Mytilus edulis: one gene and its partner. The protein of the gene in region 1 purifies or fractionates together with the protein of each later gene. This does not show direct contact. Links are inferred from orthologs where the notes say so. Each region holds a gene or a part of one and is shown on either strand. Other genes may lie near its edges.

The links. The genes of interacting proteins can lie anywhere in the genome.
Region 2: the proteins of RNA polymerase-associated protein LEO1-like (region 1) and FACT complex subunit SSRP1-like fractionate together in Homo sapiens (co-fractionation; 3 studies listed by BioGRID and IntAct, with this or other methods). This does not show direct contact. The link is inferred for Mytilus edulis from reciprocal best matches to the Homo sapiens genes LEO1 and SSRP1.

What each region holds. Positions count from the first base shown.
Region 1 is NC_092354.1:82,880,327-82,889,204, reverse strand, and holds the start of RNA polymerase-associated protein LEO1-like, read left to right. Parts: upstream 1-5,356; 5' UTR 5,357-5,417; coding exon 5,418-5,463; intron 5,464-8,878. Other genes in the region: uncharacterized protein, read left to right, coding at 250-398, 632-866. UniProt on the Homo sapiens protein: Component of the PAF1 complex (PAF1C) which has multiple functions during transcription by RNA polymerase II and is implicated in regulation of development and maintenance of embryonic stem cell pluripotency.
Region 2 is NC_092349.1:23,153,123-23,161,688, forward strand, and holds the start of FACT complex subunit SSRP1-like, read right to left. Parts: upstream 3,444-8,566; 5' UTR 3,341-3,443; coding exon 3,287-3,340; intron 1,867-3,286; coding exon 1,681-1,866; intron 1-1,680. UniProt on the Homo sapiens protein: Component of the FACT complex, a general chromatin factor that acts to reorganize nucleosomes. The FACT complex is involved in multiple processes that require DNA as a template such as mRNA elongation, DNA replication and DNA repair.

The DNA.
Region 1 (8,878 bases):
CCGATTAATTGTTGGAAATGACGTCCTCCTACCGTAACAGATATGTTGTCAATCAAGAACAGAAGCATCTTGCTAATGTCCGTTTCAGAAAATTGGTTGATTTTTAAAAAATCCAAAGTGGATTCTTTTTAAAATATATTGCATGGTGAAATGTTTATGTTCACTACGCCTACTAACTGTATCTTAGAGTAATCAGTGCACATGTATATTTATATGTTAATGAAATACGTTTATGTTTCAGGGTTTGAAATGGCAAATTTCCCACATGACGTAAAGACACAAAGTGGACTGACCGGTATATATAACGAGAAAGTGACCAATGTGGAACGTATGGCAAGACCGATGGGCAGTAGTGGTGGCAGTGCAAATGTCCCATTTGTTAATCACCAGGGCGTGAGGTACAGTCTCTCTTAATGTCCCATTTGTTATAATCACCAGGCCGTAAGGTACAGTCTCTCTACTGTCTAATGTTAATTACGTTGAAACATATAATATTCTACCATTGATAATCAGTATTTGAAGAAAATATGAATGCAAATGGCATTAGGTACCACTTTTCATAGGCTAAATTTATGTAAACCATCCATGATAAATTTTTCACAAAATACTGTTTTCAATTTCTGTTTTTTAGAGTAACAACGGACCAGGGAAATCAATACCTTATTCATAAAGGTGATGGCTATGGAATTTCCAGTCAAACGGTTGTAACTGACGCAAAACATATGTCCAATCAATGGCAATCTATGGGGTCTCGTGACGTTGGCGGTAACCAAAATGTCGGGAGTTATGTTGGAACTGGCGGTGCAAATTACAAACTACTTTCTGATAATTGTATACATGGAGCCGGAAGGATGTTTAAAAAGTGATAAATAATCAATGCTATGACATCACTCACAATTTATTAACAAGCTTATTGTGTATTTAAATTCTATTTATCTATGATAATTAATGTTCTTTTCCCCTATACATATGTTTCTTCTATATGCCCCTTGTGGGCCTTTTATTGTTAATAAAATCTGATATTGCCTCTTGTTCCTGTTATATGAAAAAGACGGATTAGAATTTAGACCAAGCTCATGATTGATTTTTTTTTATTCTAAAACCACTTGTTGGTATGATAAGGGTTATGTCCTTCCTGTTGTATTTTATGACGGCATAATATTATACTAAACCCTTAACGGGAAGAATTTAAGACGCAATCATTGAATTAGAATAATTGAATTGAGGTCTGGTACGGGAACGAACTGCATCTACTTGCCGACCTTTTCTTATTTTCATATGAATCGGAATTCCTTCGGGCACTTGTGAAAAAGAAGAAGATAAAAAAAGCCAGGTCATTTAATTTCATATTGTGATATACATGAGATTATGTGCTTTTCATCAACAATCCAAATGTCTCTGATTAGTTTCCATTAATATATCCCCCACAACTAGAACATTAAGTTAACACGGCTTCATTAGCATCCTTTTTAGATTTATATACCTCGAATGTGACATACACGGTCATCTCAGTGCCAGAATCTATGACAAACGAGACAATTTTAATTTTGAAATTATCAATAGTTTCCACCTTAGTAGCATTATACTAACTTCACCTGCATATGGGGTATACAATTCCCAATGCATTCCTGATTCAGAATATTATCAAAATAGATATAGGAAGATGTGGTGTGAGTGCCAATGAGACAACTCTCCATACAAATAACAATTTAAAAAGTAAACCATTATAGGTTAAAGTACGGCCTTCAACACGGAGCCTTAGCTCACACCGAACAACAAGCTATAAAGGGCCCCAAAATTACTAGTGTAAAACCATTCAAACGGGAAAACCAACGGTCTAATCTATATAAACAAAACGAGAAACGAGAAACACGTATATATTACATAAACAAACGACAACTACTGTACATCAGATTCCTGACTTAGGACAGGTGCAAACATTTGCAGCGGGATTAAACGTTTTAATGGATCCAAACCTTCTCCCTTTTTCTGAAACAATAGCATAACATCACAACAAAGACATACGATAAAATATCAATTGGCAGACTTAACTCAATCAAAAAACGTATGATTAAACAATGAACGAATAAATTTGATCTGCGATATCTGAATACAAATGCACAGTTAATTAAATATTAGAGACAAACATTCATGACCAAAAAGCTAACAAACAAATTCAAAAACAGGACATGACTGAGAAATATTTAACCAATCAATGTTTACTTTAGAAAAAACCGGTTTTTTTATAATCTTGAAGTTTATACAAATGTTGTAAGAATAAGTGAAGATATTACAAATAATCAAAGCTGGTGTACAGACAAAAAGCATACAGCAACTACTGAGACTTTGTTAAACGACACCAGTGTCTAGTTGGAAAGGTGGTGAACCAGGGGTAAGTCAAAGAACGTCTAATCCTTTATCTTAAAAAGTTCATTGGAAGGTATCCAGATTTTGTTTTATAAATATTCCGTATCGACATCACAAAAATTACACCGTATGATCTTGAAGTTTAGATTCTGAGAACTGACATACGGTTTATGATCTTAACAACATGTTATAGTATTCTTGTATTTGTGTTTATGAATATTAATTTTACTTTTTATTCTGTTATTGGTGGTATCCATAAAGATTTGACTTGGTTCGATCTGTATTTATACATCCCGTCATTGCGTAATCATACGGTAATGTTCTAATATAATTTATGTACTTGTGTCTTTCATTTTGGTTAATATGCTTTGTATAGCTACATTCCTTTTTGTGTTTCTTTGTTACGTCATATGACGTATCCCTGTATACATTCCGTCATCGTGTTACTGTGCTGGAGTATTTTTTTCTTGTGTTCTATTTGTTGGTTTTATAGTAATTAAGATAATAACAAAATGTTGACTGCTATACCCCCATTTTTTACATTGTTACCTATTATGTCTGGGTTTTTTTGTTCGCACATCGTTGTAAATATAATGGAATTTCATGCGACTGTCATACACGTGAGAGGTTTAGCTAGCTATAAAACCAGTTTTTAATTCACCATTTTCTACATAAGAAAATGCCTGTACCAAGTAAGAATTGTGACAGTTGTTGTCCATTCGTTTGAAATGATTGAGCTTTTGAAATCTTTGCATCTATAAAAATATTTGGTAAAGATTTTAAATAACTTGTGCATGTTACGTAATCTTTCCCTTTAAATAAAATATTAGTATACGTTCATTGACAAACGTCAATACAGACACGGATGGCGCCAAAGAAACGTCATCGTTCAGAATAAGGAAAATTAACAATAGGGAACGAGAAAATCGGCCCTTTTGTCGAAAACTTTTCCATAGTGTTTCTCGTGTTAAACTGAAGTATCTTTTTTTTCCCAACAAATAAATATTCTTTATTCTTCAAATTGCTTGGTACATGTTTACTTCATTGTCCAAGCTTCAATAATCTTAATCTAAGAAAGGGCAATTATTTCTGTTTGTATTTAATTTGTTCAAAGTTATATTACTTCTTTTAAATTACGGCAGAACAGATTTGAAGAAATCTTGTCAGTTATATACTTAACGACGAGATAGCACCGCAAAGATAACGGTGTTATTGCATTGATAAATTTAATAGAATTTAGACGGGTCTTTACTGAGTTGGCTATTTATTTTTATGCCCCACCTACGATAGTAGAGGGGCATTATGTTTTCTGGTCTGTGCCTCCGTTCGTTCGTCCGTCCGGTTAAAGATTTTGGTCAAGGTAGTTTTTGAAGAAGTTGAAGTCCAATCAACTTGAAACTTAGTACACATGTTTCCCATGATATGATCTTTCTAATTTTAATGCCAAATTATATTTTTGACCCCAATTTCATGATCCACTGAACATAGAAAATGATAGTGGGAAGTTCAGGTTAAAGTTTTTGGTCAAGGTAGTTTTTGATGAAGTTGAAGTCCAATCAACTTGAAACTTAGTACACATGTTCCCCATGATATGATCTTTCTAATTTTAATGCCAAAATATAGTTTTGACCCCAATTTCATGGTCCACTGAACATAGAAAATGATAGTGCGAAGTTCAGGTTAAAGTTTTTGGTCAAGGTAGTTTTTGATGAAGTTAAAGTTACACCAACTTGAAACTTAGTACACATGTTCCCTATGATATGGTCTTTCTAACTATAATTCCAAATTAAAGTTTTGACCCCATTTTCACGGTCCACTGCACACAGAAAATGATAGTGCGAGTGGGGCATCCGTGTACTATGGACACATTCTTGTTTTCTTCTAATTTCAGGCTATCCTTTGGGTAGACATAACTAACTTCTTTGTTTCAAAAGATAAACACATACAGATTTGAAAAATTAAACATTTGGAATATTTTCTTAACATATATAAGTATGTTCTAAATCTGTATAAAAATTCTTTGGAATAATCCATTTTATCCAAGATTGTAGAATATGAACAGCATTATTTGCAACGGTTTATTTGCAGTATAGTTTTCTAATTTAAAAAAAAAACTTTCATAATTTTTTTTTGGCTTGATCAATCTTCATTCGGGGTTTCAATAATTAGCGACAATAAGCGTTAAGAATCGACAAGAAGCGACAAAAAGCGCATAAAAGCGACAAAAGTCACCAAGAAGCGACAAGGAGAAGAATATAGCAACAAGAAGTAAAATTTAGTGAGAAACAACAGAATAAACTTCGTGTTTTTCTCCCCTTGATTTATCAAGGATGTGTTAAAAAAGTAATATACTTTCAGTTTTAAAACAGCATAGTGTATAGATGAATGAACGATTTATGTGGTGTGTGCATGGTTGGTGTAAGTCAGTAAGATTCAACCCAAATTATAAGATAAAAGTCATGATAATTATAATGTAATCTTGATTTATTTCAGACTAAAAAGGGCAATATACATATATATAAATACATGCCACGAAATGTTCTGTCTAAACTGGATAAAAGATCATAAAAGGTTCAAATATTCACATCATTTATTAATAAAATACAAAAGCATACATTCATGTTTGAACAAAAAAGGGGATCCTTTTTATCCTTTTTATTTTTTTTATTTCCATTTATTTCTAGTTTTTCTATGATGCACCTTTAGTATAATCAGATGACTTAGTTTCGATAATGAAACCTAATGTCATTTTAAAAAAAGAGGGGTCTATGAAACGCAGTCGTTCCCCCTGTATCTGTATCGTAAGCCCTTTGATGACATTCCTTATCCTCGTGGACAAGAATCATTTAGATGACATTGTTAGTGTTTTAAATTAGTGTGAATGTATAAATAATAATACATTTTAGTAACGTGTTGGTCAAAATAGGGTACGACTTGCTTGAGTACGAGTTGTCGTTTTATAGTATGAAGAAAGAAGTGTCGAAAAAAGTAGATGCCGATTTGTCTTATCGTATCCAGTCCGACATCGTTTCTAAATTTAGTCATAAAGCATGGCGGAAAGCAGAGAATTGTTTGGCAGTGACGAAAGTGGAAATGGTATAATCAGTTATACATATACATTTAAAATGACTTACTCTGATATTTACGATCGAAAATCATAAAACTTTTTAATTTAAGGTTTAATGTGCCTATCAGTATCACATGTACTGAAGAAAAATGAATTTAACAAAAAAGACGAAGACACTATTTTCAAAATTATTCCTACCAGAGTATGAATTATGATATTTATTCCATCCTGGAAAATTGAACACAATAGAAAAATACCTCCCAAGTACAGTTTTTAGTGGAAGAAGACGTCAAGTCTTCTGAAGACTTAAGGGGCTGACCTTTGGCATTGAGCCTCCGTATGCCGCATTCGTTTCGTGTATTACAATTTCATAACAACTAAGTCTAAGATTCCTGACACCGATTTTTACACATGATTAGGCATCTGAATCATTTAATTTGTAAATTAGGATTGAAAAACAATCACTATCGTAAATATGACCCTTTTAATTATGTAAATTATCAGATTTCATCTCATCCACATGAACGTTATTTGGTCTTTGTTTACTAGTCACAGGATGTTTTAACTGTAGATATTTGTATTAGGCATGCGTGAATTTGGTATCGGGACAACTCGCCCTGTTTACAAGTTAGCCCTTGAAGTTACGAATTTGCAATCCTGCAGACAAGAAGATTTTGTTTTTTTGTAAATAAAAAGGATATATTTCTTATTAAATTGTTGTCATAATTCATTGTTTTCCTTTGTCATGTGAATTAGATGCCCTTCTACTCCAAATGGTTTGAATCTATTTATAAAATTATTCAAGACTCAGTTGACAAGAGCAATACGTTGCTGTTTGGAGAATGTGATTAAAATCTAAGCTCATAGAAAAAGAAATATAATTGAAACTCTATGTACCTCCTTCTGAAGAATGTATTGCAATATAAATATAAATTCCTTTTGACAAGAGAAATCTGACTTTTGTCAGAAATATTTTTTTCATGTGCAAAGGTAATCACGAGTGTCGGCCATATTGGTTTGTTTACAACTATGTGAAGAACCATGACCTAAACATAAATAGTCTCTGAAAGTGTATACTTCAAGCAATACTATTTTATCAATCATGAATATTTTCATAAATTTAAATTTGATTATTTAAAGAAATAAAATTATAACAATTACGATTTTTGATAAGAGATTCTACACAGACATGCTGTGATCTATTTATAGCCAAATTAGTTTACCTGTGTGAAAATGTAAATAATTTGTTTACTAAACAAGTAAAGACAAACTATGGATGGAAGATACTAATTTACATAAATACTTCAGGACATTTAATTGATTTTAATAAATATAGGATTTAAAAACTGCAGGTGGAAACAAATTTATTCATTAGCTACATAATCAGCTGATAATTTTATTTCACAAACATCGTGGTGATGTTATTGATAAAAATCACTCCATCAATCCTCCAGCCCTTTCACATATTAAGCAATAGATCTACTTATTATTGTAGAATATTTAATGAATATACATTCATCGTCTTATTGAATATATCGGGTAATCAGATATTTTTAGCTGACAATCTGGGTATCCCATTGGCCGGAGTCTACTGTACTACCAAAAACATGATAAAGATAGTAAATAGTATTTTTTCACTAATTTATTGACAATTTATTGACATAATACTGGTTGTAACATATTTTATTTTTGTATTTAGGTTGGGACCCCCCACCCCACCCCCACTCCAATTATGAGTGGTGTCCCTTAAATGAGGGACTGTCCCTAAAACAAGGGGTCATTTTACTGTTGAAAAAAAATAAAGTACATTTTGAAGATTTTTATTAAACTCAAAAGTGGGAAAATTCATATTTGGAACAACTTTTCTAAATGAGGGGTCAAATTATTAAAAAAGATATAAGTTTAGAAACAACAGAAAATTCTTTTGACATGTTTTGACTATTCAGTACTTAATAGATGCATATAGTTCTTGGGGAAAAGTTTCATCAAATAATATGAATATAAATGACTTTTTTGGTGCTCATTTTTTACAGTGGGTTATACTGATCTTCCAGTTAGGTTAATCTCATTTGGAGTGTTGTTCCCAACCTGTTAAAGGTCCATCTTTGTGCATAATTTAAAATTGGAAATTTCAACAAGCATCTAATATTCTTACTCTGGAAAATAAACCCTGGTCTGCTAGCTTCATGTATATTTTTTCTACTGAATTAAAACTAGAATCATGCAAACAGACTTAAGAAAAAGGCATGTAAGTTAATCATACAAATATGACACTTTTTCTAGACAATCCAGATCGTGCAAAATACATCGCTAAAAATTGTAACCTTTAAAAAAAAATTTGTGCAGGAAAAACCCATATGGGAATTGGGAACTTTCAAAAGTTGGCGGGTATGTAACGAGCCTTACTTTTTTAAGCTCCATTTGTGGGCAATATGTTTTCTAGTCTGTCCGTCCGTCCTGCTTCTGGTTATAAAGTTTATGGTCGAGGTAGTTTTTGATGAAGTTGAAATCCAATCAACTTGAAACTTAGTACACATGTGTTCCTTATGATATGTTCTTCTTAATTTTATTGCCAAATTAAAGATTTTACCTAATTTTCATAGTCAACTGAACATAGAAAATGATTGTACGGATGGGAAATCCATGTACTAATGTGACCTTTTCTTGTTTGAAGAAAAAAAATACATTATAACGATAATGGAACAAAGCAGCCTGGGTTAGTGGGGCTGCTTTTATGGTAATTCAAGTTACCTTTTATTCACCTTCTTCCACTTCAGAGCTATCAGCTCTTTGATTGATTGAGGGGTGAGCTATACTGTAACCTAGAACGCGAACTTCACAACAAATTATTGAAACAAACTACATGATCATGACATATAAATCTTTGTCTTGTATGTATGTATGTTCCGTATCTCCCTCCTTTAGTAGGAGCACCACCATGGGTTATGGTGTAAAAAGGAAGACATTTAACACACTATATCGGTACAGATTTAATGTGAGCATTTGCCTATCCAGTCTCCCAGCCTGGCCGTGACTCAATTGTTCCATTCATACTATTCTAACACCAACACAACCCACAAAATAAAAGTTAAAGTTTTAGAACTTATAAAAAAGGATACAAAAAGAAACCAAAGGCCGAATACCAAATTATGGTCCATATACAAAATAAGGGATAAGATCACCCCGGATGCCGCACAAATGCCTAGACAACGAATGGGAAACCGGAGAGGACATACTTGGAATCCAAACCGATACCGCTAAATGCCCAGCTGTATTCCTGGTAGAGGAAAGCCGAAAATCCTATGATAAAGGATCTCGGAAAGAAACTACCGATCCATTAGGGGAACAGCTAAAACCCTCAGACATCAAATAGATTGGTCTGATAGTTTCCCACATGGAAACTACTAAAGGATCCCATCTGACTACATGTCTCAAACAAACCTG
Region 2 (8,566 bases), on another chromosome or scaffold:
CACCTTACAGTCCTTCCATACACCGAATATACTAGCCCTATTGCTTGTAGTATCTGAGATATGGACTTGACCACCAAAACTTAACCTTGTTCACTGATCCATGAAATGAGGTCGAGGTCAAGTGAAAACTGTCTGACAGACATGAGGACCTTTCAAGGTACGCACATATCAAATATAGTTATCCTATTACTTATAATAAGAGAGAATTCAACATTACAAAAAATCATAACTTTTTTTTCAAGTGGTCACTGAACCATGAAAATGAGGTCAAGGACATTGGACATGTGACTGACGGAAACTTCGTAACATGAGGTATCTATATACAAAGTATGAAGCATCCAGGTCTTCCACCTTCTAAAATATAAAGCTTTTAAGAAGTTAGCTAACACCGCCGCCGCCGGATCACTATCCTTATGTCGAGCTTTCTGCAACAAAAGTTGCAGGCTCGACAATAAAATGAATAGACTTACTATTAGGCCAAAAAAAATATATGTCTGTTTCCTGCTGCCAAGGCAAAAAAATCAGGGTAGGTAGGTCGGGATTTTTTTTTTTTTTTTTTTTTTTTTTTATTATTTTTGCACTCCCTGTCAGATTTGCAAATGGTTAGATGTCATGTTTGGTTAGGGTCCTGTACCCTAAAATCATTTAATCTCTTTAAAGAAGCTTTAATTGAATAATCATCCCAGTGCCGACATTTTTTAAACCTTAATTGTAGCACATTTGTGCTGGGAGCAGCCATTTTAATTGTTTGGGTATAGTAAAATACGGATCTGGATCGGACCGGAAACGAATTTTTCTGGACCGGAAATGATTTTTTTTCCGGAATTGAATAAAAAGATCTAGGGTCGGGGGCTTTGAGTCAGGGTCGGTCGGGAAACAGGAAACAGACATATATTTTTTTTTGGCCTTATCATGATTATCAAGAAAATATATTTTACACCGAAAAATTGAACAACTAGCATGACTAGCTTGCAGTAACTGTGAGTACTCTCAGATCAGAACTTTGTGTCTTATTATTGTTGAGATTTACATGTCCACATCCACCTGCTTTGTGTTTTTGTTAGGGGTATTTCTATTTGTATATATCTATCTGATGAGTTGAGTCTTTTTTTAACTGATTTTTATAGTTTTTTCTTATGTTGTGCTGTTACAACACTGTCCAAAGCTACAAAAAAATGTAGGTGAAGGTTTCGATCCGACTTACATGTTTGTTTTTCCTTAATTTTTTTGTACATTAATTAGGTGGATTGTTTTCTCACTGAATTGTTTTACACTTGTGATTTCAGGGCATTTTATAAAGCTGACTATGCATTATTGAAGACTGTATGGTGACCAGTAGCTTTTAACTTCTGTGTCATTTGGTCTCTTTTAGAGAGTTGTCTCATTGGCAATCATACCAAATCTTCTTTTTTATATCTATAATGAGGGGCCTAATGGGTTAGTTTCGCTATTGTGATCCGTTTTTCTAGATTTTTTTCCTTTTTTTTATATTTTCGTGATCCATGATCATGGAAATTTGTTTTCTGTGAACCAATCAACTCGTGAATCGTGATGAGACACCCCCCACATCAGGCCCCTCTATGATATATCAGGATTATCAACAATATGGTGAGAATATTACAAGGATAGATTTAATAACTACATGTATCATGAATCAACTTTTCTTCCCATTGTACTTACATCATCTTTAAACCCATCAAATCTGTGAACATTTCCATTGTTAAGTCTGAACTTTAAACAGTGACCTCTTGCCCTTTTCAACCACTCTGATGTATTCACCTCCATTCCTGTGAACTGTTCAACTTTTCCTGTTTTATTGTTCTTAAAAATTACACTATTGCTTTGAAGTTTTAATCTTCCTGGGTTCTAAAAAATAAACACAAAGCACATTTATTATGAATAATAATATAAAAAAAATGTTCATATGACTCAGTAAATATTTGTATACAATTCCCCGGTGTCTGTATGCGCGTGATATTGCGCATTAGCTGATTTTGTCATATCAACACAGTAACACAAACAGAATCGTTCTTGTTATTGTTTTAGCCTTCGGAACAATGTGGAAGGGATGAAAAAGAATAAAATTGATAAGTTCAAGGGTTAATTAATAACTGCAATCCCGTCACGTGATTTGCCATATTTGGCCAATTTCCATTAAAAAAAATACATGATCAGATAAAATTTGTTTTAATAAAGTCAAACTTATATAAGATTGAAATAATTTTTGCTCTGCATCCTTGGCAGTGTATTTGGTTCAAACTCAGCTATATTTTGTAGTATAAAATCTTTCCTTTATTTAAAATATGCTATTTTTGGAAGGCATGCACGAAATCACCGGACATTGGAGAAACTCTCAGAACAGGGGTTTCCCTAATTTTGGACACACATTACACAAAATCTAGAGGATGAAACCATACAAACAGAAGATTTTATGAAATAAAAGTATGTTATGAATTTGTTAACACAATATTATCCAATTATTGGTTTTATCAGTTGAATGCAGTGAAGTCATAAGTTATAGGTGAGCGGATACACCGGACTCCACCGTACATAAATATTGCAACATCTATGACTTCTCCTTCTCTCTGTGTCTACATTAAAACAATACATAGATGAACACACTTAAGACTTTTAATTATAATAATTGATAAATTGTATAGATGTGCAAGAGCCTTGAACCCCTATAGCTATTCATAAGAATAAGTAATAGACAGGTCTGTACTATCAGCATCAGACTCGAAAGTGGGACACTTTTATTTATCAGGATTTAACTCTTGTTTCATAAGTGTGGAAATTTAACATGCATGCATTCAGCTGGTTTCAGATGTTTTCAATCAAGTTTGATAAGTAGGTAGACATGGTAGAAAGCATTGCCAAATTGGCCGATACCAACTCAAACCCACTCATCCCCTTGAATTTCGTCCTGTCATCTCCCTACTTATGTATACTGCAAGCGCAAAAAGGTCTGAGCTGTAATTTTCATATAAAAGCTCTTAACAGCCTTTAAATTAGTTTAAAATCGACACAAGTGCGGTGAGTTGCCAGGCCTAAAATATGTCAGAAAATTATTATTTAATTCCATTTTCATAGGTAAACAAGTTTGTCAACAAGCGAGTTGTTTACAATTAGTTAGACAATTTGATAGAAAGTTGGCAGAGTTAGTTGAAAGGGGCGAGTTGGTTGGGGTCTATTTCAGTATTTGGATGGGGCCAGTGGTCTAACTTTCTATCGTTACAAAAAACAGATGTCTTCACATTTTACTGATATTTAAGGTGAAAATACTAACAACTGCTCCTCTTATTTCTTGAACGACGTCACCATATTCCTGAAAGTCGCTCATTGTTAAATAAATTAAGAAATTGCTGATCTATTCATGTGCGTTTTTCCCTCAAAATAATAAAGTGGACCAAGCGGGATAATTTCCGGTTTGAGATTTATATTTGTTTCTGCTTACATTTGATTTATATTCATTAGTTTTTACATTTTCTTATGAAAAATTTCAAAAATAAAAGATAATTGTCAAAAATAATTCAATAAAAAAACAGTTTGGCACATTTTATACAGGAAAACGGACAAAAAATATGATTCTGACGGTTCTCTAAATAGTAAGAAAAAATAGCGGGAAAAAGGTAGAATAATTGGGTAAAAACCTGTACTGTGTATCCGTACCTGAACCACAATATAACTGGGTGTACACAAACAGGTATTTACAAAATATATTTTATAAATACACTCAGTAAAATATAACAGTTGGTTTATTAAGTTTGGTCATTGTTTAATTGTTTTTAACCATCAATGATCTGACTATTTCAAAGTTTCTTGTAATATTAGAGAAAGATAAGGTGGAAATCTCTCTGCTTTCTTTTTCTCGGCCTATCTGAATGATTTTGAATATTGTTTTACAATTGCACGATGGTTTGAACTAAGTTGTATATCTGAATAGATTGAGAATGTGATGAATATGTATAATAAACATTTTTCTTTATTATTTACAGATGAAACAAGGGGCGTTTGCTGAATAAGTTGAAGCTATTTTAGTCCCAACTTTATACATTTAGTGAATATTGTAAACTTTGGAAACTTAGTGTAAATTCTATTATGATAAAATTATGATCTTTTTCTAGTGGACGTTTATCGCAAAATTTTTATTTTCATTGTGATAACATTGATTTAGAAGTTTTCAAAATAATTCCATGTTTGGGGTTGACTTTTCAATGCAAGTACCAAAAAGATATAAGTTAAAAAGACATATCGTATATATAATATGAAATTAAAATTTGTGCCGACTTTTAAAACCTTAGGAAATTATTTTTTTTAAATATAGAAAAAAAAACGATTATTGTTAAAAAATAAATGTAAAATAAAAACAAACAAACAAAAATTTCAACATCTTTTTGAAAATTTTGTTTGGCTCTTACAAGAGCCTTTCGTTGCACATTTGCAATGAAATTCAGGACTTAGTCTTGGAACTCGTCATTTGCAGTTAGGATTCATGCATGTCTATCTCCATCATGGTGCCTTCCATTTGTTCTGCCTTCTCTCTATTATTAAGTAGTTCTAACATGGTGTCAGCCTCTTCTTTCTTTACTGAGGCATATTCAAAGTAGACCCGACGAAGAGCGTCGACAATGGCTATTCTTAGACGTAAATTGTAGCGTAAACTACGATGTCCGGCTCTTTCCGCTCGGCAGTAACGCTCCATCAATAAATGCATCTTTTCGTTAAGCAGAATCATTTGCTTACAAGCTTTGTTGAAACAAATCTTCTTGGTCGCTATTTCCTCTTCGATGTAGTCTTTCTCCATTGCGATAAGTAAACTGACAAATAACGGAAAGGACAGCCATTTTATATCATCTTTCTACCTTAATAATCTCCTTTGATCTTTATCAGGTAATGATGATTTAATTGATTGTGTAATAAATCGCTTAAGGGGTAATTTTTCACACGATAGATAAAAGGTAGTTGTTTTGACAACGCTAGACTGCTGTCTATATAAGTGTAAAAATACTGTATGTAATATTGGTCCCAGATGTGATTTTTAATATATGTTTGAATAAGAAAGCATTAAAAAAGATATGATATTTGTTTTTACAGTAATTAAATTCTTATAACGTATGGCTTGGATCAAATTATTAATTGATAACAAGTGATAGAATTAATACCGACAAAAATATGGCATATCTAGCTAAAATGTCGATTGTATTGAGTCATAATCATCTTTTCAGTAAAATATATGATTCTTTAAAAAGTTATCATTTATATTTGTAAATTTCAAAATACATAATTATTTCACGCATATAAACATACGATTAAGTTCGAGTAAATATGAATAGATTGTTTGAAATATATTTAAAAAGAAAATTAAATTTTAAATAGGGATGGATTAATATAAAACAAAAATGTTAAAATACAATTCAATTCAATTCAATATTTTATTTAAGTCTCATCTCTCAATAATATATAATACAACATTACATTAAATGTAAAATTATATAAATATAAAAAGAGAGCCATTCTGTACAGAATTACAAGAGACTATAACATTAAATTTATATAAAGAATTCATCTATTATAAAACATATTAACATTAACATTATTTACAGTATAAAACATTTCTACGTCTATATAAAATAAGATTACAGGCTTTGGCACAGCTATAATCATATTATTATCTGTAAATAAAAACACTAATTTCTGTTTATCATAAAAAGACATAAAATCACTATTAAAATGTGTTGCTTCATAAAATTTTTTTTTTTCTAAAATCGCCATATAAAGGACACGATAAAATAACATTGGCTTCATCTTCTAAAATATTTATACAATTATCACAGACTCGATCTTTTAAAATTAATTTTTCAAATCTCCCCGTTTCTATTCTTAGTGGTGCTACACCACATCGAAATTTGGCAAAAGAACTCCTTTGCGAAAATGGCATTGGAATTATTTTCTGCAAATTAAAATATAAGTCCTTCTTTTCGACACATATATTATATTCAAGATTCAAAGTTTTATTTAGAATCGATATTCAATAAACTACATAACACAAGCTCTAGTGAGCTTTTCAAATCGACTTAATAACAAAATACAATACACACACACACAATACAATACACACAAACAAAAGTCATGAAAATAACACAATTTTAAACATATAATGCATAGTAAGATACCATAATGACATATATAAGTTAAAAGCATAGTACACTTAAAACATAGCACAAGTTAATATATATTTATATGACCCTCTTTTCCTCGATAATTTTTAAACACGGTATTTTAAAACAATTCTCTTTCATTTCCGTAAATGTTTGCTTACTCTGTAACTAAGGCATGTATTTTTTTATATAAATATTGTGACGTATATTGAAAAAAAACCGCATATTTCTATTCAACATTTTTTCTGTTTATTTAACAATAAAGAAAGTATTGTAAAATTAAACGTTTCATATTCCACACATTTTAGTAGACTTCAATTATTTATAGACCCCCCCCCCCCTTTTATAATTACTTTGAATGATACAGCTCATCTGTATTATAGTATATGCATACATATACTATTTACAAGCGTTAAAAAACACAGGAATTGATAATAAACGTCAGCAATATCAGTCACATATTATACAGTTTGTAAGTTTCAGACACATATAATTCAATTATGCCTTTGAAATTGTTTCTGTACTTAAAGGCATAGAGTTAGTACTTTGCTAAATTACAAAGTTTCTTAGTGTTTTCAACAGAAAGTAATTGTACCAATTTATAAGTTGAAGGTCTAGCCCAATAATATTTCTTGATAAACTTCTAACGTATATCACCATTATTGAACATCGCAAAATAAAATGAAATTCATCCTCTACTCTCCATTTGTATCACACAATACGTATTCTACTTTTCTTTACTAATTTCATCAAAACGACCAGTTTCGCGAAATCAATACATAGAGAATTTATTTTAGAAAATTGAGAAGGAAGGAAAATTTTGTGTATTGTGTAGTTCACGACGTTCAGACTGTACAGTGGCGGATCCAGAGGGGGGCGTAGAGGGCGTACGCCCCCCTTTTGCTTGGACTTTTTTTTTTTTTTGTAAAAAAATATTAATCAGACTAAGACTTCGTGAAATTTGCCATTTCCCGTGTATTTTGTTTTTAAGCGACATTTCTTAACTTATAACGATAATTATTGCTCGTATTTACTGTAATATATTATTATTTATGTCAACGTCATGTGATTCGCTACGGCGGTGTTAACCAGTGCGTCAAAAAAAAAAACCGGCATTCAGTCATTTTGAAATTCAGATTACAGTAACACTTGCTTATGATGAAGGTGACAAGCATGACACCTTCAAAGCAACAAAGGATTGAGCAAGAACGTACTGACTTCTATTTCATAATTCCACCAAACAGAAAGTAATACTCTATTACACTCTCGTGAAAGTTCCATAGCAATATTATAAATCTACGAAAACATGTTTAATCCCAAAGGCCCCAGCCTATAGATAACATAGCTGAATAATGATCCCGAGTCAGTAAGCTCTAGATGGATTTTATGTCTTTTAAAAGTATGGACTATTTGATTTGAGGGGGCAATGATCTGAGAAGTTTGAGAGAAAAAATCTTACCCTGATTTTTGTCTTAATCAAAAATTCTGGTCGTATATATCTGGATTGAAAACATTAATTTTGTCCACTTATTTTCTATTAGAAACAAAAATTTCGGGTGTTATTTTTTGTTGCCGGGGTTTGCATGTAAATCCCATATCTGACCGGAATATTTGTTTCGCCGAACTGATATATTGAATACTTTTGTCAAGGCCCGATTTCAACCTGCCTGCTTGGTGTGGCCATTATATCTCCATTTGTCGACCGTCATCCTTAAATTCGTTGTCCTTTCAGACTCATTCGTAGACTTTGGTTAATTTGGAACCCTCACTTCCCTTGTTGGCTGAAACATTTCAACCAAACATTTGGACAAAAATTGTTTGTTTGTTTCTTATCTGGTGTCGGTCTATTGTAAATTTCATCGATAGCCCGGCGTCTATCTTGTTTACAACAAATAATTGTGAGATTTTACTAAATAAACAAACGAGAAATTTCCATGTCCATTTTTTACTGCCAACTCCCACATCAATTATATTAGTACATAGCTTTCGATCTATCCAATCGTTTTATAATGGGAGAATACGGCATCAAAAATGTCCGACCCTTACACTTTACAGCAACTATAAAATATACATGCCCAACTTCAGGAACCGTGTAAAAAGTTCATTGTACACTTATATTATGCTTTTTTAGCCTGAAAAGGTAAAAAAAAAAAAAATCGCCTCGCTCCGCTTTACGAAATTAAATTTAGTTCGCCCACCCTTTCCAAAATCCTGGATTCGCTCCTGTACTCTGACACAAAATAGTGCTTTTGATGTCATTGTTTACTTAAACTAACCAACAAATATGCAGAAATGAAACTTTTGGTGAAAGGAAATATATTTAGGCCATTTCGAGTCAAAATTCACTTGTCTATGAGTTTGCGTTAAAAATTCAGGATTAATGCGCTACATAGTACACTAATTTAAGA